4 linked regions of the Saccharomyces cerevisiae S288C genome follow. Changing the gene in region 2 together with the main gene of any one other region gives a genetic interaction. Each region holds a gene or a part of one and is shown on either strand. Other genes may lie near its edges. The genes, in order: YHK8, YLR464W, PRM2 and YLR012C.

Region 1 (6,083 bases), on a different chromosome or scaffold from region 2:
AACGTTGATGAAGCTCGAACAAAGTTAGCGTCGGTTATGCTTGCCTATATAAAGATATATTTGCCTTACATTTTCGTTGAACGTAGAATGATTTTTGCTTTTAATAAATTTTTTGTTGTTCTTTCAGTGCTTCTTCAACTTTGATACGAAAGCAAGTGCATTAGTACAACAAGAACTGGCCACAACTATACTATACTCATTTTTTCTTGCCCGTGTTTTAAATGTTTTCATCCACAGCATTTGATGGGATGATTGGAAGTGAGACGTTCGAGAAAATCCATATTTTGAGTCAAGAATTCAGATAATATACTGAGATGATTAGGTATGGCTGGGTTCTACAAAAACACAAATATCCGGCTAGCAATGATCACTGAGCAAATTAAAGCGTTAACTCACTCATTATTGTAGCTTATGCGTTTCTCCTCCTCTCTTTTTTTCCTCGAACCGGAGTGGAAGATCCAATAACGTAATATTACTGATGTTGTTATTAAAGCTGGCAAAAATAACATGAGGCGTAAAACCGCACTGCGGTAAGATGAGGGTATAAGGTGGAGATCAGGCGAACAAGCTGTTCTAAATCATACATATGTACAATGAGAACGTGTAACGATCCAATGAGCGTTTCATGATGCCATTGTTTAATCAGAGTGATGAAAAAGAAATATTTGCGACCTTTTTTCGTTACATTGATCGTGAAATTTTAATCAAAGATAATATAAGGACGTGAGATATTTATCTTTTTACTTGAAATTAACAATAGAATTGCGCTAAGCGGAATAAGAGCTTTCGTAAACCTTTCTATTTGCACCATTGCGTCAACGTATAAAATGGTATGACCTTTACACAAACGCATGCTTATAATCTTATGTTTTTCATAGGGTGTAATTTGGTTGATGACGTAGTCTAAATTTGATGCTATCTGCAATTGAGGTACATATAAGAGGTCAATTTCGGGACCAACCCTTTTAATCGAAAAAAACGTAATTCACTAGGGCAAGGGAGAACTTAGCAGCTAATATCGTAAACCTTTCATACTAAAAAAATGCACTTACCATCAACAAAAAACTCAGGACCAATTTCCAAGCTTTTCTAGGTGATTGCCTATAACACAAAAAGATTCGCTCATACATGAGATTTTTACATGTAATAGCAATTTGTTCCGATCAGTTGAAGGTCATCAACGCACGGCAGGTACATCCACACCTATCACAAAGCCCTTCAATAATTCACCTACGTAAAGTTATACCGAAACATGCAAAATCCATGAAAAATTCTGTATGATAACGATCATATCCTTTTGTATTGGTGGTACGATGCTCAAAGATAGTTATTGTTGCACCTGAGGCAAAAGCGGAAATGAAAAATCCAGATGGGGCCAAAAGCAGAAGTATTGTGTACAACAATTGCTTCAGCAGTTTACCAAACCGTTTCCCAGCAATCATCAAAAGTTGCTTTAGCCACATTTCCGCAAGATATCTTTGTGGCTCAACGAAGAGGGCTATTCCAAATGCAATACAATACTAGCCGCTAGTGATCCATGCTTATAGGCAATTTGATTGATAACTGGCCGTTCTATTAAGGAGTCAATGCTAACCACATATAATGCATATAGGATTTGGCCTCTGCTGACCGTAATACTAGACAAGGAATATAAAACAACAACGTAACCCAGCATAAAAACGATATAAATAAAAAAAGAAACCAGATCATAAAGTTTGAGGGCACATCCCTCATGGTTTCAAAATCTCGTACATTGACTCAAACCTCGAGATCTTGTTTAAACGAACATAAGAACAGCGGTACCAAGTGACACATTGCGTACTGTGTAGTATGCGCCGTATATAACTTTTTTTTTCTGAAGGTACTTTGAATTACAATCTATTTTTTACAGTTCCTATGGCAGGGGTTGAAGATATTTGGGTCTGAACCATAGCAGGATTAGTGTTATAGTAGGTATGTGAATAGAAGCTAACAAAATGAGATGAACCTCATACAAAGTCGTAGAGAAAACTGCTAACAGAAGAGCTGCGCCTTGAAATCGTATCTCTAAGCTTATAATAAATTGAAAGGAAAAAATACGTGGTAAATGCAAGCGACCAAAAGGCTACGGCCCAACGCTAACCCGCCGATAGGTGCATAATCTAATTTACCTCCACCAGCAGGAGCCCTTTTTCTAAGTAATAAGCAAACCAGATAACTTACATCTTGCTGTAGGAAACAAAAGCCGGAATAATGGTTCACTCATATTCTTCGTGTGAAACACAGAAGAAATCCAATATTTGCTTCAGTATTTATCTCTAAAAATTGGTCCTACATTGGAAACCATAAACCAATTATAACCGGTGTACGAATTGTAAGCTAGTTCTGGAAATGTCATGTTGCGCAGGTAAAAGTGGAGCTGAATTGTATATCTGTTTTGATCATTATTATCCCTCTGGGTGAGTGGAAATATCAATAAAATGCAATGGCACATTTAATATCCTTCTCTTAATTCCGTGATTTATAACATCTTGATGCCAGAAACACCTTTCGGATCCGGCAATAAAGCGGAGATTAGCACGCTTTTCGCCGGTCCTACGGATTTAGTGTTGGCTATTGTTGAGATTAGTAATACGCAGAGAATTTTTCTACCGGTGAAGCGACCATCTCAGATTATTAGGTCAAGCAATAACACTTGTTATTAGATGCGTTACGTTCACCTGGACCCTATATAAAGGCATATTTGCCTTACATTTGGTGTATGGTATCACCTTGTATACTAAGAACATATATATGCAGATATAACAACAGGATATGGTTGCAGAATTTCAAATAGCGAGTGCACAGTCATCGGCATTGACATCTACTGAAGAAGAGCATTGTTCAATAAACTCAGACAAAGCCGCAAAACTGGATCTGGAATTGACCAGTGAACGAAAAAATGACGGCAAACAATCGCATGAAGTGACCTTCAACGAGGACATCGCGGACCCAGAAGATATAGCACGGCATATGAGCACCGCCCGCCGGTATTATATTTCCTCGTTAATTACATTCACATCGATGGTAATTACGATGATCTCGTCCAGCTGGACGCTTCCTTCAACGCACATAATCGAACACTTTCATATTTCGCACGAAGTCAGCACTCTGGGAATTACGCTTTATGTGTTTGGGCTCGGTATAGGACCTTTATTTCTGTCTCCACTAAGTGAACTATATGGACGAAGGATCACATTTTTATACGCCCTTACGCTCAGTATCATATGGCAGTGTTTGACCATTTGGTCCAAGACCATTACGGGTGTCATGTTTGGCAGATTTCTATCCGGGTTTTTTGGTTCAGCCTTTCTAAGTGTGGCTGGCGGCGCCATTGCCGATATATTCGACAAAGACCAAATTGGTATTCCTATGGCAATATACACTACATCGGCCTTTTTGGGGCCCTCTTTAGGACCAATCATTGGTGGAGCCTTATACCATCAAAGTTATAAATGGACATTTATCACACTTCTCATCACTTCTGGATGTTGTCTCGTTATGATCATCTTTACCATACCTGAAACCTACAAACCAATGCTGTTAATACGTAAAGCTAAGAGATTGAGGAAAGAGAAAAATGATCAACGGTATTATGCTGTCCTGGAAGTCACCCGCGAACAGACTTCCTTACTTTCCGCAATCTTTCTCTCAACCAAAAGACCCTTTGGCCTGTTACTTCGAGACCGAATGATGGGTGTGCTTTGCTTCTATACTGGATTGGAACTTGCCATAATATATTTATATTTCGTAGCGTTTCCTTATGTGTTCAAGAAACTTTACAACTTTGGGCCCATGGAGATTGCATGCTCCTATATCGGTATTATGGTCGGCATGATACTCTCGGCTCCTACTTGCTTGTTATTCCAAAAAACGTTTGAGTGGAGAGTCAAAAGAAATAATGGCGTCAAGACTCCCGAAATGAGATTCGAGCCTCTGTTCTACGGCGCCTTTTTGACCCCAGTTGGGCTCTTCATTTTTGCATTCACCTGCTACAAGCATGTCCATTGGATTGCACCAATTATAGGCAGTGCAATTTTCGGTTCAGGTGTTTATTTCGTCTTTACCGGTGTTTTTGCGTATACAGTGGATGCCTATAGAAGATATGCAGCTTCTGGAATGGCTTGTAACACATTTGTGAGATGCATAATGGCCGGTGTCTTCCCTCTTTTCGGACTCCAGATGTACAAGTCAATGGGAGTGAATTGGGCCGGCTTTCTCTTGGCAATGGTGACCGTAGCGATGATTCCTGTCCCATTTCTGTTTACCAAATACGGTGCCCGACTGAGAGCCAAGTCGCCGTATGCATGGGATGATTGATTTTTTTGCATATTTTTTCCTTTGGATGTTGCATAATCTTTTCCCGCTTACGTCATTGGTGATAGATTGTTTCGGATCTTCAAAAGGCAACACGCATAGGCCAAAGAAAAAAGAAATTTTGCATTTTTTCATTTTTGCATATTCTCGCATGTTTTCTTTCTTTTTCTCTAGTTTTCGAATGTTTTTGGCTGCAATGTATATTGTATATAAACCATAAAGGTGCAAAATGCCAGATGTACGCGGCCAATCTTAATTTTCTAGTAAAAGTAGCAGCTAAATCTGAAACTCTCTAGCTTGTAATAAACGAAGGATGACTGTACAAATTCCAAAATTATTATTTTTACACGGCTTCTTGCAAAACGGTAAAGTTTTCTCCGAAAAATCATCTGGTATTAGAAAATTATTGAAGAAGGCTAATGTCCAATGTGACTATATTGATGCACCAGTCCTTTTAGAAAAGAAGGACTTGCCATTTGAAATGGATGATGAAAAATGGCAAGCCACCCTAGATGCGGATGTTAACAGAGCCTGGTTCTATCACAGCGAAATCTCTCACGAATTGGATATCTCAGAAGGTTTGAAGTCTGTTGTTGATCACATCAAGGCCAATGGCCCATACGACGGCATTGTCGGTTTCTCTCAAGGTGCCGCATTGTCCTCTATCATCACCAACAAGATCTCAGAGTTAGTTCCAGACCATCCACAATTCAAGGTAAGTGTAGTCATTTCCGGCTATTCCTTCACCGAGCCAGACCCAGAACATCCTGGAGAATTGAGAATAACCGAAAAATTCAGAGACTCATTTGCGGTAAAACCAGACATGAAGACCAAGATGATCTTCATCTATGGTGCTTCTGACCAAGCCGTCCCATCCGTCAGATCCAAGTACCTGTACGATATTTATTTGAAGGCGCAAAATGGTAATAAGGAAAAGGTGTTGGCTTACGAACACCCTGGTGGACATATGGTTCCAAACAAGAAGGACATTATCAGACCAATTGTTGAACAAATAACCTCTTCCTTACAAGAAGCTTCTGAATAAATCGTAGGTTGTTGCTTACCTGCTTTCTAGCTTTTTACTATCACACGCAGGGTGTGTGGAGTGAAATGCTGATCGAGTATGTATATATACATATAAGTACTTTGTATAGAATGAACCACAAGTTTGTAGCATCCTTTCTCTTCTCTTCCATCCTGCGTGCTGCTAACCCCGCCCGGCGCGAAAAATCCACCCGGGGTGCTTTAGCGTGGCTTACGAAGACCTTTTTAAACATACTTATACTCTTTCTCGAAGGAAGAAAATAATGCAGAAGAGAAACAGCAGAAAAAAAAGAAATCATATTAAATTTCAGAATCAGTCTCCTTTTGCTTCTAGTCATTTAACCATCAAACGCGTTTAACCGTTTAGAAAACCCTCTTCAACAACTATTTGTTTTGATACTAATATTAGCACATCTCTATTGCCATTTAACCACTAATTTTCCGTATAGCGTTTATGTTTGATGACGTCCCAAGAATATGAACCTATTCAATGGAGCGATGAATCCCAAACAAATAATGATAGTGTCAACGATGCGTATGCCGACGTGAATACCACTCATGAGTCGCGTCGAAGAACAACTTTGCAGCCAAACTCAACATCCCAGAGCATGATCGGAACATTGAGAAAATATGCTAGGTTCATCGGTCCTGGTTTGATGGTATCTGTATCGTACATGGATCCTGGTAACTATAGTACAGCTGTA
Region 2 (5,595 bases):
TATAGATCCTATTAAATAACGTACCTATCACAGTATCGTCTTGTTCAGATATAGTCTCTTCGTATGAGTAGTGTCACATACAAGATTAAAGATGCATCAGTTATGCTTTTAGGATATTGCGGATAGCATATGGGAATGGAAATAGGATACAATTTTATCATAGCACCCGCATGAGTGTCAACACAGTACCATATTATAGCACAGTGAATGGAGAGTGTTACGACAGTGAGGTAGCATATTATTCTAATGTATGGTCTGCATAAGTACGAAATATTCTGAAATGGCATCCGTTCAAGCAAACTGCAATATTAAGGAACTTTTACGTTAATGACGTCATGGTAGTGTTCATACTCCAAGTCAATATGTTTTTGTATTATTGTTGAAGAATAGAATATTTTTATGTTTAGGTGATTTTAGTGGTGATTTTTCTGTAATATTGGCATAAGTGTATTTAAATTGAGTGGTTAGTATATGGTGCAAAAGTAATATAACGTATGTATTAAGAGCATTTTTACAATATTCGAGGCCACTGAATGAGATATAGATATTAAAATGTGGATAATCATGGGATTTATGGGTAAATGGCACAGAGTATAGACCGCTGAGGCAAGTGCCGTGCATAATGATGTGAGTGCATTTGGCACTGATTTAGTGAGAGATGGGCCATGGAGTGGAGTGGAATATGAGAGTAGGGTAAGTTGAGATGGTATATACTGTAGTATCCGTGTGCGTATGACATATCAGTATACAAGTGAAGGTGAGTGTGGCAAGTGGTGGTGATGGTATAGAGTGATAGGGTAAGTATATGTGTATTGTTTACGATCATTTGTTAACGTTTCAATATGGTGGGTAGAACAACAGTATGGTGAGTAGTAGATGGGAGATGGTAGAGGAATGGCAGGGTAAGTGGTGGCGGAGTTGGATATGGGTAATTGGAGGGTAACGGTTATGGTGGACGGTGGGTTGGTGGTAGGAAGTAGAGAGGTGGATGGTAGTTGGGAGTGGTATAGTTGAATGAGACAGGGTAACGAGTGGGGAGTAGGGTAATGGAGGGTAAGTTGAGAGACAGGTTGATCAGGGTTAGAGTAGGGTAGTGTTAGGGTTAGGTGTGTGTGTGTGTGTGGGTGTGGTGTGTGGGTGTGTGGGTGTGGTGTGGTGTGTGTGTGTGTGGTGTGTGGGTGTGGTGGGTGTGGTGTGGGTGTGGGTGTGGGTGTGGGTGTGGGTGTGGTGTGTATATCTATGTCACCTTATTGCATGCTGGATGGTGTTAGACAAGGCCGTAGGGACATATAGCATCTAGGAAGTAACCTTGTACGAAAATAGGCAATATTTCCTGTTTGACGCAGATTTTAGCCCAAAGATCTAGCGTCAAGGAATTTTTTTATAGTGGGACATTGCAAACCAAGGAAGTAACTTGATACGTCGTTGGTGAATGGGTCTGTTTTCTTATTCGGCGGGGTAATACATTTTTGGGGGAAGTTTGTCTGTCTGACGCGCCATATGTAGGTACGCCAAAAAGGGCTCCTCTACTTCGAAGCGCGAGGTCGTATACCTAATAAGGAAATGTAATTTATAACTTTTTATTATATTGGTCTTTTCGAGAGCGGAACGTAGGTCCATGTTTAAAGTATCCAAGAGAATATCCACGAAGCGGCTGAGCAACGAACAGAATCCTGGTTCTCCTCGACTAAGCAGATAGTTAAGATACTGTGCACCATGGAAATTGAAAACGAAAGTACGTACCGACTACTTTATTTTTGCAGGCCGGAAATCAAGCGATGAATGAGACATCCTTCTGTTTTCTATGTTGTGCTTGAAGGGGACAGACAGTCGCTTATCTTAGTGAGATTTTGTTTGCTTTTGCTGCACCTGCATAGCGCAGATTCTGCATCTTCTCAATAGCTTAATTATTACATTCTTAGATGATGATAAGACGAAAACTGGACAATCTTTTGTTTATATTGATGGATTTCTTGTCAAAAAGCATAAAAATCAACATACTATTGTTAATTTCGAAACTTACAAAAATAAAATGAAAGTTTCCGATAGGCGTAAGTTTGAAAAAGCAAACTTTGACGAGTTTGAGTCGGCTCTAAATAACAAAAACGACTTGGTACATTGTCCCTCAATAACTTTATTTGAATCGATCCCCACGGAAGTGCGGTCATTCTACGAAGACGAAAAGTCTGGCCTAATCAAAGTGGTAAAATTCAGAACTGGTGCAATGGATAGGAAAAGGTCTTTTGAAAAAGTTGTCATTTCCGTCATGGTCGGGAAAAATGTAAAAAAGTTCCTGACGTTTGTTGAAGACGAACCAGATTTCCAGGGCGGACCAATCCCTTCAAAGTATCTTGTTCCCAAGAAAATCAACTTGATGGTCTACACGTTGTTTCAAGTGCATACTTTGAAATTCAATAGAAAGGATTACGATACCCTTTCTCTTTTTTACCTCAACAGAGGATACTATAATGAGTTGAGTTTCCGTGTCCTGGAACGTTGTCACGAAATAGCGAGTGCTAGGCCGAACGACAGCTCTACGATGCGTACTTTCACTGACTTTGTTTCCGGCGCACCTATTGTAAGGAGTCTTCAGAAAAGCACCATAAGGAAATATGGGTACAATTTGGCAGCCTACACGTAGATGAGCTATGCAAGCAAGTTTACCTGGCGAAAAGAAAGTCGACACAGAGCGGCTGAAGCGTGATCTATGCCCACGTAAACCCATTGAGATAAAGTACTTTTCACAGATATGTAACGATATGATGAACAAAAAGGACCGATTGGGTGATATTTTGCATATTATCTTGCGAGCATGTGCACTCAATTTCGGGGCGGGTCCCCGTGGTGGCGCTGGTGACGAAGAGGATCGATCTATTACGAATGAAGAACCCATTATTCCCTCTGTGGACGAGCATGGCCTGAAAGTATGTAAGTTGCGCAGTCCTAACACTCCACGAAGACTCAGAAAAACACTAGATGCCGTGAAAGCTTTATTGGTGTCGTCTTGTGCTTGTACCGCAAGGGATTTAGATATATTTGATGACAACAACGGCGTTGCAATGTGGAAATGGATCAAAATTCTGTACCACGAAGTAGCGCAGGAAACCACGCTGAAGGACTCTTATAGAATAACTTTGGTACCTTCTTCTGATGGTATATCAGTATGTGGAAAACTTTGGGGAGAGTTGAACAACTGCTTCCATATGCCAGCCTCATTTTGCGTAATCGAGAAGTTTTGTTCAGAGAACCGAAGCGAGGAATTGACGAGTATCTGGAAAACGATTCTTTTTTTCAAATGATACCTGTTAAATATCGTGAAATTGTGCTGCCCAAGTTGAGAAGAGATACTAACAAAATGACCGCGGCTCTTAAAAATAAAGTCGCTGTTGCAATTGACGAGCTTACGGTGCCACTTATGTGGATGATCCATTTTGCCGTAGGATACCCTTACCGTTATCCAGAGCTTCAGCTACTCGCTTTTGCCGGTCCTCAGCGCAACGTATACGTCGATGATACAACAAGACGCATCCAACTGTACACTGATTACAACAAGAACGGTTCATCGGAGCCTCGACTAAAGACGCTTGACGGACTCACTTCAGATTACGTGTTTTATTTTGTCACTGTGCTAAGGCAAATGCAAATATGTGCGCTTGGTAACAGTTATGACGCTTTTAATCATGATCCTTGGATGGATGTGGTGGGATTTGAGGATCCAGATCAAGTAACAAATCGAGACATTTCGAGGATAGTTTTGTATTCCTACATGTTTCTGAATACCGCGAAGGGCTGTCTGGTTGAATACGCAACTTTTCGGCAGTACATGAGGGAACTTCCGAAGAATGCACCTCAGAAGCTGAATTTTCGGGAGATGCGTCAGGGGTTGATTGCCCTAGGACGGCACTGCGTAGGTAGCAGATTTGAAACAGATTTGTACGAGTCGGCGACGAGTGAACTCATGGCCAATCATTCCGTTCAAACAGGGCGAAATATTTACGGTGTGGATTCCTTTTCGTTAACTAGTGTCAGTGGGACGACCGCCACTTTATTGCAGGAACGAGCTTCCGAGCGCTGGATTCAATGGTTAGGCCTTGAAAGCGACTACCATTGTTCATTCTCTAGTACTCGGAATGCGGAAGACGTAGTGGCAGGTGAGGCGGCGAGTTCAGATCATCATCAAAAAATTTCAAGAGTAACGCGAAAAAGGCCCCGAGAGCCCAAGAGTACAAACGATATCCTCGTCGCAGGCCGGAAACTCTTTGGCAGCTCCTTTGAATTCAGGGACTTGCATCAGTTGCGCTTATGTCATGAAATATACATGGCAGACACACCCTCTGTGGCAGTACAGGCCCCACCGGGCTATGGTAAGACGGAGTTATTTCATCTCCCCTTGATAGCACTGGCGTCTAAGGGCGACGTGAAATATGTGTCGTTTCTGTTTGTACCGTACACAGTGTTGCTTGCTAATTGCATGATCAGGTTGAGCCGATGCGGTTGCTTGAATGTGGCCCCTGTAAGAAACTTTATTGAAGAAGGTTGCGATGGCGTTACTGATTTATACGTGGGGATCTACGATGATCTTGCTAGCACTAATTTCACAGACAGGATAGCTGCGTGGGAGAATATTGTTGAGTGCACCTTTAGGACCAACAACGTAAAATTGGGTTACCTCATTGTAGATGAGTTTCACAACTTTGAAACGGAGGTCTACCGGCAGTCGCAATTTGGGGGCATAACTAACCTTGATTTTGACGCTTTTGAGAAAGCAATCTTTTTGAGCGGCACAGCACCTGAGGCTGTAGCTGATGCTGCGTTGCAGCGTATTGGGCTTACGGGACTGGCCAAGAAGTCGATGGACATCAACGAGCTCAAACGGTCGGAAGATCTCAGCAGAGGTCTATCCAGCTATCCAACACGGATGTTTAATCTAATCAAGGAGAAATCCGAGGTGCCTTTAGGGCATGTTCATAAAATTTGGAAGAAAGTGGAATCACAGCCCGAAGAAGCACTGAAGCTTCTTTTAGCCCTCTTTGAAATTGAACCAGAGTCGAAGGCCATTGTAGTTGCAAGCACAACCAACGAAGTGGAAGAATTGGCCTGCTCTTGGAGAAAGTATTTTAGGGTGGTATGGATACACGGGAAGCTGGGTGCTGCAGAAAAGGTGTCTCGCACAAAGGAGTTTGTCACTGACGGTAGCATGCGAGTTCTCATCGGAACGAAATTAGTGACTGAAGGAATTGACATTAAGCAATTGATGATGGTGATCATGCTTGATAATAGACTTAATATTATTGAGCTCATTCAAGGCGTAGGGAGACTAAGAGATGGGGGCCTCTGTTATCTATTATCTAGAAAAAACAGTTGGGCGGCAAGGAATCGTAAGGGTGAATTACCACCGATTAAGGAAGGCTGTATAACCGAACAGGTACGCGAGTTCTATGGACTTGAATCAAAGAAAGGAAAAAAGGGCCAGCATGTTGGATGCTGTGGCTCCAGGACAGACCTGTCTGCTGACACAGTGGAACTGATAGAAAGAATGGACAGATTGGCTGAAAAACAGGCGACAGCTTCCATGTCGATCATTGCGTTACCGTC
Region 3 (4,700 bases), on a different chromosome or scaffold from region 2:
CCTTTTGGGAAGGATTGTTTGTGCATGATTCATGTCTTTCGTAATAGCTATTGAAGATTTCTAAACCTTCGTTAATTTTTTTAAAGACCCTATCGACCTCCTGCTGTAATTTTCTATGAGCCATGTCGATCGACTAAACATACAATGAATCTTCAAAAATCTAAATTTGAAAATGAATAAATAAATGTGCTGTAGATAATAGCTTTTGATTTTTTGTCTTGACACAATGAGACTTCTCGTTAAAGTCAAACCAAAAGGAGATGAACAAAAGAAAGTTCGAAATATCAACAAAATGCTTTAAAAAATGTAGAAGCAAAGTTATTAATAACTTTACAAGCGCCTTAGTCAGTTTATTGATCTGTAGGTCAGTAGGTTTTAGAGATTACGCACAGATGAAAGTGAATTAAGCTACTATTACATAAAATCAAGGTATCTTTCACAAGTTTTTCACTCAGCGAAAATTGCGAGACCGCTCGTGGAAGGTGACGATAATACGATACTTACAACTTTAATATTATAAATATAAGCATGTGGTGGAACAATATAGTCAGGCAAACTGCTAAAAGTCCCCACTTATAAACAGTGTGTAAAAAGTACGTTTGTTTTTGCTCCTTATCCTTTATTTGGCGTTTTGACAGTGAAGACAATGCCGCTACCGATGCGTTGGTTATATTAATTCCTCGATTAATTATACCATATTTTTGAATGTCCAGTGCAAATGAAGAATTTGTATTCGTAACTTCGTATGTCGGTAGGAAATACTGACCCAGGAACTCATTAATTGAATCGCTGCCTAACAGAGGCTCAACCTGCAGGTCTATCCCCTGCCAATTTTGAGAACTCTCATTAAGATATTTTTCAAACTGAGTGTTTGTGTCGTTAACCCAAAGATTTAGGATGTCCGTTGATTGCACTTTCAAATTGGGGTCAGTTTGAAGGCTTAAATTTGCTGTAATGAACTTTTCATTCACTTCCATTTGGAAATTTTCACACAATAATGATACGCTGTCATTAATGAAACCCTCTATCGTAGTTGTTATATTTCCATCTGTCCAAACTTCCCTTTTGTATAGCGAAGGTCCCGCTCTTTTGTGGAATGTAGGCAAACTGGGTACTTCAAAGTTTGTTAATCGCGTCACTATCTGCCAATGAATTAATAACATCAAAAAACCAAACAGCCACAGGTGAGCCCCATTTGAGATTATCCACCAGTTACAGTAAAATAGTTTTGATTTTTTGACTTTTTTGTCATCGATTTTTTCTGGTTCTCTTTTAAATATTTTTTGATTGATAAGCTTTGTTAATTGGTAGGGAATTGGATAAAGTGTACTGAGATTCAGAGTAGTAATTAAGCTTTTCAAAACTTTGTTGTATTTAGTAAAATTGGTTTGTCCTGTCAGGCCATTAATTTGGGACATAACCAGGTTTACTTGCTGATTTTCCAGCTGAAACAGAATTCTTTCGATTGCCATGAGCAAAATCACAAATGCAAAGTACATGACTGTGAAAATTATTGTCATTCTCTTACATTTACGGAAAACGTGATTTTTTACTGCACTTAGTACACTGTTTTCCTCGCTATTTGTTTTCAGAGACCGTTTAATTATTGAAGTAGACGATGTAACCTCGGTACTCCCCCCAGATAAAATGGAAATTTCATTCTGTAAGTTTGCAGTAAAGTTCCTTTTCAACTGAAGCCAGTCAGTGGAATTTCGTAGAAAATTCAAACTTAAGGTACTAGAGGTATCTAATTGAGTAGAAAAGTCAGTGATAGTGCCATTGAAGTTCTGCAATGATTTCAATTTCCTTGAGTAGTTCCCAAAAATACTGTCAAACATGGAGTAATTTAACAGTAGGTTTGATGCCATTTGTGAAATGGAATCCTTATCAATGGTCATTGCGTCTTCTGATATTTCATTCCATGTGTCATTTATCAGCTGTGATTTAGTGAGTAGTTCGTTAAAAATTGTATTGTTTACCTCAAGAACTTCCTTAATCAATTCAGTTTCCAAACTTATTTGGTCGTTGATAAGTTTTTGTTTATTATCCAGTATGTCGTCTGTGTATGACTTGAATTTTTCTTGCATATCCGTACCTACCGTAGATTCAATACTCCGTAGTTTGCTTTCGAAATACTGATCAATTGTATTATCAATGAATGTTTTATTTAAAGAGTAACTGTTGGCAGAATATATGGCATGCTGTGTTGTGACTGCTGTCATTGTGGCCGTTGTTGTGGCCGTTGTTGTGGCTGTCGCTGTAGCAGTTGAAATAGATGCAAAGGTTGAGACGGTATCATTTCGTTTGACCTGTGCGTGAGACATTTTTGCCATTGTAATGTCAATGACTGAAAAGGAACCCCAAATAGTTAAAATAACAGAAGTAAAGAATATCAGTAATAGAGGATGGAAAATACAACTAAAAAACCTCTGTGGAAGTGATAAAGGTTTAATTATGTGTACATTGTTCATCTTTGCCGTACTCTTAGTTTTATCGAAAAGTGGTGTAGATTTTCAGCTACTTAAGCCATGTTAGTGTTCTAGTTTTTTGCTTTACATGTTATATAAAGGGCCAAGATAGCATATGTAAATGTTTTATTACTGGGCTGAAACATTTTTAAAACATTTTTCAATAATGTGCTGTTATAACCGTACAAGGACGGTTATAATTCTGAATTAAAATGCTGCACCGAATGAAAATACCAATGTTCTTCCAAACCTATTGGCGAAAATTAAGATAAGCTGTCGCCTCTATAATCAAGAATAATCTCAACTATTATAAATATTATTCCCAGAAGTTGAAATTGTGACACATTTGAGTAATATCACCTTACACGGAACATAGTTGCCCCCTTCTCCGAAATTGCTGACAATGATAATCGGGGATTCAATGACAATGACAATGAAGGCAAAAGATTTTCATATTGTACTCTTGTTTTTTGAGTTATCACTTTCAAGTACCTTCTTGTTAACAGAAATAGAACCGCTATAGAGGTTATCGTGTATACGTATCTGTTGGTGTTTCTAAATCAAAAACTCGCTTTTAAAGCAGTCTTTCAATTGGAAGATTCAAAAGGATCTAAAAAGATCTAAAGTAGTAAAGAAAAAAGTATAAGCCCACACCTTTTTGGTAGGATAATGTTTACTGGTCAGGAGTATCATTCCGTAGACTCTAATTCCAACAAGCAAAAAGACAACAATAAACGTGGTATTGATGACACATCAAAGATCTTGAATAATAAGATACCGCACTCTGTTAGTGATACTTCTGCCGCCGCCACCACCACTTCTACTATGAACAATTCTGCTTTAAGTAGATCCTTAGATCCTACTGACATAAACTATAGCACAAATATGGCTGGTGTGGTTGACCAAATACATGATTATACTACTTCCAATAGAAATTCTTTAACCCCACAATATTCTATTGCAGCTGGAAACGTCAATTCGCATGATCGGGTTGTTAAACCCAGCGCCAATTCAAACTATCAGCAGGCTGCATACCTTCGACAACAGCAACAGCAGGATCAGCGACAACAGTCACCCTCTATGAAAACTGAAGAGGAATCCCAACTCTACGGTGATATTCTGATGAATTCTGGTGTCGTACAGGATATGCATCAGAATCTGGCCACTCATACAAATCTGAGCCAACTGTCGTCTACCCGTAAGTCCGCTCCGAATGATTCTACTACAGCCCCGACTAATGCGTCCAACATCGCCAATACGGCTTCTGTGAACAAGCAGATGTATTTCATGAACATGAATATGAATAACAACCCACATGCCTTGAACGATCCATCCATCCTGGAAACATTGTCGCCATTTTTTCAACCTTTTGGTGTTGATGTAGCACATTTACCTATGACGAATCCACCAATTTTCCAAAGTTCTTTGCCTGGATGCGATGAGCCAATTAGAAGAAGAAGAATATCAATCTCTAACGGTCAAATAAGCCAGCTAGGCGAAGATATTGAAACTTTGGAAAACCTGCACAACACACAGCCGCCCCCGATGCCCAATTTTCACAATTATAATGGTCTGAGCCAAACTAGGAATGTATCAAACAAGCCGGTCTTCAACCAAGCAGTGCCGGTTAGTAGTATTCCACAATACAATGCAAAAAAAGTTATTAATCCCACGAAGGACTCCGCATTGGGTGATCAGAGCGTTATTTACTCGAAAAGTCAGCAGCGAAATTTTGTAAACGCGCCATCAAAGAATACTCCAGCGGAGAGTATAAGTGATTTGGAAGGCATGACGACGTTTGCGCCAACTACTGGAGGTGAAAATAGGGGCAAATCTGCACTTAGGGAATCTCACTCTAATCCTAGCTTCACTCCAAAATCTCAAGGATCTCATTTAAATTTAGCGGCGAACACACAGGGAAATCCAATCCCTGGTACTACGGCATGGAAGAGAGCAAGATTGTTAGAAAGAAATCGAATTGCAGCTTCGAAATGTAGACAAAGGAAAAAGGTTGCGCAGCTGCAGCTCCAAAAGGAATTTAACGAAATTAAAGACGAGAATAGAATTTTACTGAAAAAGTTAAATTACTATGAAAAACTAATCTCTAAATTCAAGAAATTCTCCAAAATTCATTTACGTGAACATGAAAAACTAAATAAAGACTCAGATAATAATGTTAATGGCACTAATAGTAGCAACAAAAATGAAAGCATGACTGTGGATTCATTAAAG
Region 4 (5,070 bases), 900 kb from region 2:
ATCACATTAACTAACCGAGAAATTGACGACTACTCAGACTTACCAAGCCCAAATCCGTCTTCAAAAGTTATCGCATTGGCCATGTATAAAATCAGAAGAATCCAAGCTAGTATAGTGAGAATACTCTACGCGCCCGGTGCAGAATTGCCGAGGAGGTTTATGGATCTCGAGAGCTGGCGGATTGAAACCTACAATGAGCTTGAGCGTTGGTTCCAAGTGGACGTTCCCAAAAACTTTGAGATGATGAATTGCAAATTTAACAGCATCTGGTTTGATCTGAACTATCATTACTCGAAGAGCATTCTTTATGGACTTTCTCCAAAATTCCCTACTTTGAATGATACCGCTTTTAAAATTGTCCTGGACAGTACGAAGGGCACCATAGACGTATTTTACAATCTTTGTGTCAATAAAAAAATTGGTTACACGTGGGTAGCAGTTCATAACATGTTCATGACAGGTATGACTTACCTTTACGTAAATTTTTACTCAAAAAACAACATAAATGATTGTCAAGAAAAAGTGTCAGAGTACACTGAAAAAGTGTTGATAGTACTGAAGAATCTGATAGGTTTTTGCGAATCTGCGAAAACCTGTTACACGAGTTACAAAATTTTATCATCAGTTGTAATAAAGTTAAAATTTATGCAAATAAATGATGCCAAAGGGATATTTTCGGATTCAAATCCCCTAACCTCTCAGGCAAACCGCATGTCAAGTTATGATAAAAAAACGAACGTACTTGGTTTTGACGACGGTACTTTTGATAACAAGGTTTTTAATAGAACCAATTTTGAAGAAAAAGCACCTTTTGATATACCTCTAGATGAATTTTTTACCGAACTGGAAAAACACAGCAATGTTTCCCAGTTTAATACTTTAGATGTAAGCGAAGGTAATCAAGTGATAAATGAAAGTGCTTCTACAAATACGTCTTCTGCATTGAATTGCCAGTCGTATACCAATAATCAAGATATCATGGATATCCTTTTCCAGGTTACTTCGGGATCTGTATGGGATGAGTTTTTTGTCAGGTCTGGTAACGGAAACGAAGGCGAGTCTTCTTACGATATCAGTAAAGGAAAGAACTCTGAATCCGGTGGAATATTTTAGCGATAGCTCGAAGAATCATGATCAATGGATTGAAAGTAGGGCCACCAATGCTCTTTTCAATCTATTTTTTGAAAACATGAGAGTCCTAAAAGAGCTAACTTAAATGACCGGGGCAGATTAATTGAAAAGTTTGAGGTTTTTGTGATAATCTTCAAAGTTGAACGCATGTATAAAATGATAGAAGCAACAGTCCATTGAGAAGTATGCCACTATAGTCATATATATATATATATATATATATATATATATTTACGTATTAATTGATAAACTATAATACCAACGGCACTTGATACTTGAATTCATCTTACATTTCCAGTGATGATTTTTTTTTCTGGGACTACGCTGATAAAGAAAAATTGCAAGAACTGAGAAACCACTTGTTTTGTATGGCACTTTGACTTTCGAATAACACATAATGTTCGTTATCAACTGTTTAAAGTCGATAAATGTATAATCACTGCTTTGACATAAGTATATAACATTCCGAGCAGAAATAAATTCTCTTAACGCGTTCTTGTAACTCCATAGAGGCTCTTTGGAACTTTTCGTTTGACGCTCACACCTTTTATTTCGTTAAAGTACCGTTTTGCCAGATCCTTGCCAAAAACCAAAAATATTTTTCTATAAAATAATCCACAGGCATTACACAATGTCACCTCTCCATCAGGACCCTCTCTCCATTGCGGAGAAGTTTTTATCACCGCACACTGTGGACATCTCCTGGTGACGCCTTTCCTCTTTTGGACATTGTGCTGAACAACAGCAGTATTATTCGTTGTGACATACAAAGATGCACTAATGGGTTTAGCAGTATTGATTTTTGTTTGAGAGTGAGGTTTTTCGCAGTCTATTGTCTCCTCTACCGGATTCAATAACGATTCAACGGAGATTCTTTTATATTCTGGATGACACAAAGTCTTAATGTTCATAGCAAATTCTTCCTTCTGGCTTTATATTTGCTTCTAGTTGATAATTGTTTACATTTAATGAAATTGTTTCAAATCAAGAAAAGGTAAGATAAGCTCCCTCAAAGAACCTCTCGTCTTATAATATACTCTTCAAACAGAGCAACAAATATTAATTAACATGCTCGACCATTTGTTCTTTTCCATCAAATTGGACCCTAGACCCTTAAAAACATAGATATGACTGAAGAGGAGGTTTTTGACCTCTAGCCTATTATTCCATTTTACAGAGAAGCCTACTTATTTTCTGTGGCAGGCGGCTAAGCAGGTAATGTTGTCCGCATTTTATCAGAAATACTTGCCAAGAAAAAAAAGGGATTTTCATATAAGGGGATTTTCTACAGGTGTTTGTGTGAGTATGTATTGCACCAAATAAGTACTGTGTTAAAGGTTTTGTTGATGCGTTTTCATCGGGGTTAATAGCGTCTAATCCTTCAAGGGAGCTGTAAGTGATACTTTCATTATGCAAACTAAAGAAAGCTGAAGTCCTGGTACGCCACCTGGCACTTCATCTGGCTTCTTTTATTTTTTTATACACAGAAAATAACTTACTTACACTTTTTTTGGAAATAAAACCATTGTCTCGGGGAACATATACATATATATATATATATATATATGTATATAATACCAACTGCAATAAAAGAAAAGAGTCATATTATAAGTATAATTTTGAATGTTCTGTGCATTTTTCACTGTCGAATAGCTTGCTTGTCATGCCAAATAATGGGTTAAATCGCTGTGTGCTGACAATGTATCAAATAATACTTCCCCTAATTGAATGTGTGGCGCTATCCGTATATCCGGACCCTTTTTCAGGGCCGGTCTTGGCATGAAAAAATGTCAGAAGCATGAGTAGAATTAAGTCGAGAACAAACTAATATGAAGGGGATGTTTAATGTAAAAACGTATAAAAAGGCCATGTTCGAGGTGGATAATAGAACAACATTCTATGAAGACGGCAGCTTCAAGACAGAAAATATTCATAGAGATTAAGAGAAAAAGTCTCGAACATATTCAAATGAAGACTGTCTATTACAAAGAAATCACCTACCAGCAGTATCTTCAACTGCAACCTGAACAACAGGAAAAATACCTGGCTTTATGTCAAAAAGATTTTGAACAAGAGACTGAAAGAATTGCATTTGATCGTCAAGGAGGTGTGCCTGGTATTGCTAGGAAATTTGCACAAGAAGAAGTTGCTTGGTTCGATCGCGTTACAACATGGTCATATATGAATGCTTATATTCCGAGCTACAGAAGAAGAAGAAACCTTTTAAAGATTGATATGTTAAAGATGTCTAATGCTGAAGAATACTGAGAATAATTTCGAGCGCCGATCCAAATATTAGGTTTGCTTTATCTTTTTTTATGAAATAAGTTCATGAAATATGAATACTATACCACTACGCATATATATATTTTAAGAAAATTTTCGAATGAAACTTGATGAAATTAGTCCATTAAAAGTGTATGGGTAATCGAAGAGCCCAAACTACCGTTAGTATAATACTTTGTACTTTGTACTCAATACTTAATACTAATTAAAGTCTGGATTACAGTGTCCTATGATAATTGTGTTAGCTTTTCATCTTTTATTGCGACTACAGTTAAATTTTATGGTTTATTTATTCCTCGTTGTTTCGATGCACGATGCGAGTAATTGCAGGATCTCTTCATTGTGCACGCTGAGTTGTGGTACAATGTCCTCGGGTAACGGTATCGTACCTACCGGTATTTTCACCGCCACTCCACCTATAACATTCATCTTCAAACCATGTAGTACCTCTTGAAGTTGGTCATTACACTTACTACCGCCATGACCGCCGTAGCTTACCACCAGGGCAGGTTTTCCGTGCCATTCATGGTAAAGACGATCAATTGCATTTTTTAAGGCTGCTGGATACCCCCAATTATATTGAGGTGTAACGAATACAATAATATCTAATGCATTTACGATGCGACTCCACGATCGAGTTTTGCTGTCTGCATACTCATCCACGCTCTTTATTTGCGCAGGGATCAGTTCGTCATCATCTTCATATAAGGGAAGAGCAATCTGTTGTAAATCTACTACTTGTATTTTCAGCTTCTGGTCTATTAATTCTTCGCTATTTTCAATTGTACGTTTTACGTATGCTGCAATTTCTGGGCATACCCTCTTTGCCCTCACAGAACCCATTATAATACCCACTTTCATGTTTAATGCGGTTGTCGACTAAGCACCTCAGCTGGTAATGGAGATGACCAAGTAACTAATTAACAATTGATAGATATACAACTTTCCCTTTTCAATAGGCATGTCAAATCTTTCGATTTTTTTTGATTTTGCACCTTCTTTGATTCATATTTACATTCGTAACCATGTGAGATGCTCAAATGTTATGATACTGACGGGTAATAAACAACGGGGGCACCACTCAAAGAAAAAAGCAGCTTATCTGTAGAATCTACACAGGGTTATGCCAAGAATGGAATTACAACAATTGCCTTGAATTCAAATCAGATACAAAAAATAGCATAAAATAGTAGGGTCAAACAACAGACCAAGACGAGACTGTAATCATCATGTTGTAATAAGAATCATGTATTAACTATCGACTAGTATTCATGTCAGTAGTATATACTGTCATATACAGTGTAACGTGGGGACATTAATTTTGATGACTTTTTTATGTCCTCACGTTACACCGCATGTGACGGTATACTGGTAACACAAATACTACTAAACAGATGGTATTTTACAGTTTCATTCCAACAAAAGCATGAAGTGTAATTAAAAAAATGCTTTCTTGGCTTGTATTCATCTAATTCATTTGATCATAGCATGTGCTCTATATTGTAATGGCCAAGCTCGGCGTTAAAGTTTTTAGTTGACATATTTATCATCTTGTGTAATATTTAACATAAAATAGGTTAAATTATTGTATCTCAAAATGAGATACGTCAGCCTGACAATACATTATCCTAAACGTTCATAAAATACATATGA

Evidence for each region.
Region 1: mutations in YLR464W (region 2) and YHK8 together harm fitness more than expected from each alone (negative genetic interaction), as found in Saccharomyces cerevisiae (one large-scale study listed by BioGRID).
Region 3: mutations in YLR464W (region 2) and PRM2 together harm fitness more than expected from each alone (negative genetic interaction), as found in Saccharomyces cerevisiae (one large-scale study listed by BioGRID).
Region 4: mutations in YLR464W (region 2) and YLR012C together harm fitness more than expected from each alone (negative genetic interaction), as found in Saccharomyces cerevisiae (one large-scale study listed by BioGRID).

What each region holds. Positions count from the first base shown.
Region 1 is NC_001140.6:201,814-207,896, forward strand, and holds YHK8 (Yhk8p), read left to right. Parts: upstream 1-2,793; coding exon 2,794-4,338; downstream 4,339-6,083. Other genes in the region: FSH1 (putative serine hydrolase), read left to right, coding at 4,649-5,380; divalent metal ion transporter SMF2, read left to right, coding at 5,841-6,083. UniProt on the Saccharomyces cerevisiae protein: Probable drug/proton antiporter.
Region 2 is NC_001144.5:1,063,924-1,069,518, forward strand, and holds YLR464W (uncharacterized protein), read left to right. Parts: upstream 1-2,648; coding exon 2,649-3,161; intron 3,162-3,163; coding exon of another isoform or gene 3,164-3,440; coding exon 3,441-3,578; downstream 3,579-5,595. Other genes in the region: YLR462W (uncharacterized protein), read left to right, coding at 2,033-2,641; YRF1-4 (Y' element ATP-dependent helicase protein 1 copy 4), read left to right, coding at 3,164-5,595.
Region 3 is NC_001141.2:282,529-287,228, forward strand, and holds PRM2 (pheromone-regulated protein PRM2), read right to left. Parts: upstream 2,472-4,700; coding exon 501-2,471; downstream 1-500. Other genes in the region: CCR4-NOT core subunit NOT3, read right to left, coding at 1-124; CST6 (Cst6p), read left to right, coding at 3,138-4,700.
Region 4 is NC_001144.5:168,311-173,380, reverse strand, and holds YLR012C (uncharacterized protein), read left to right. Parts: upstream 1-3,099; coding exon 3,100-3,399; downstream 3,400-5,070. Other genes in the region: PPR1 (Ppr1p), read left to right, coding at 1-1,113; GAT3 (Gat3p), read right to left, coding at 1,617-2,042; LOT6 (flavin-dependent quinone reductase), read right to left, coding at 3,703-4,278.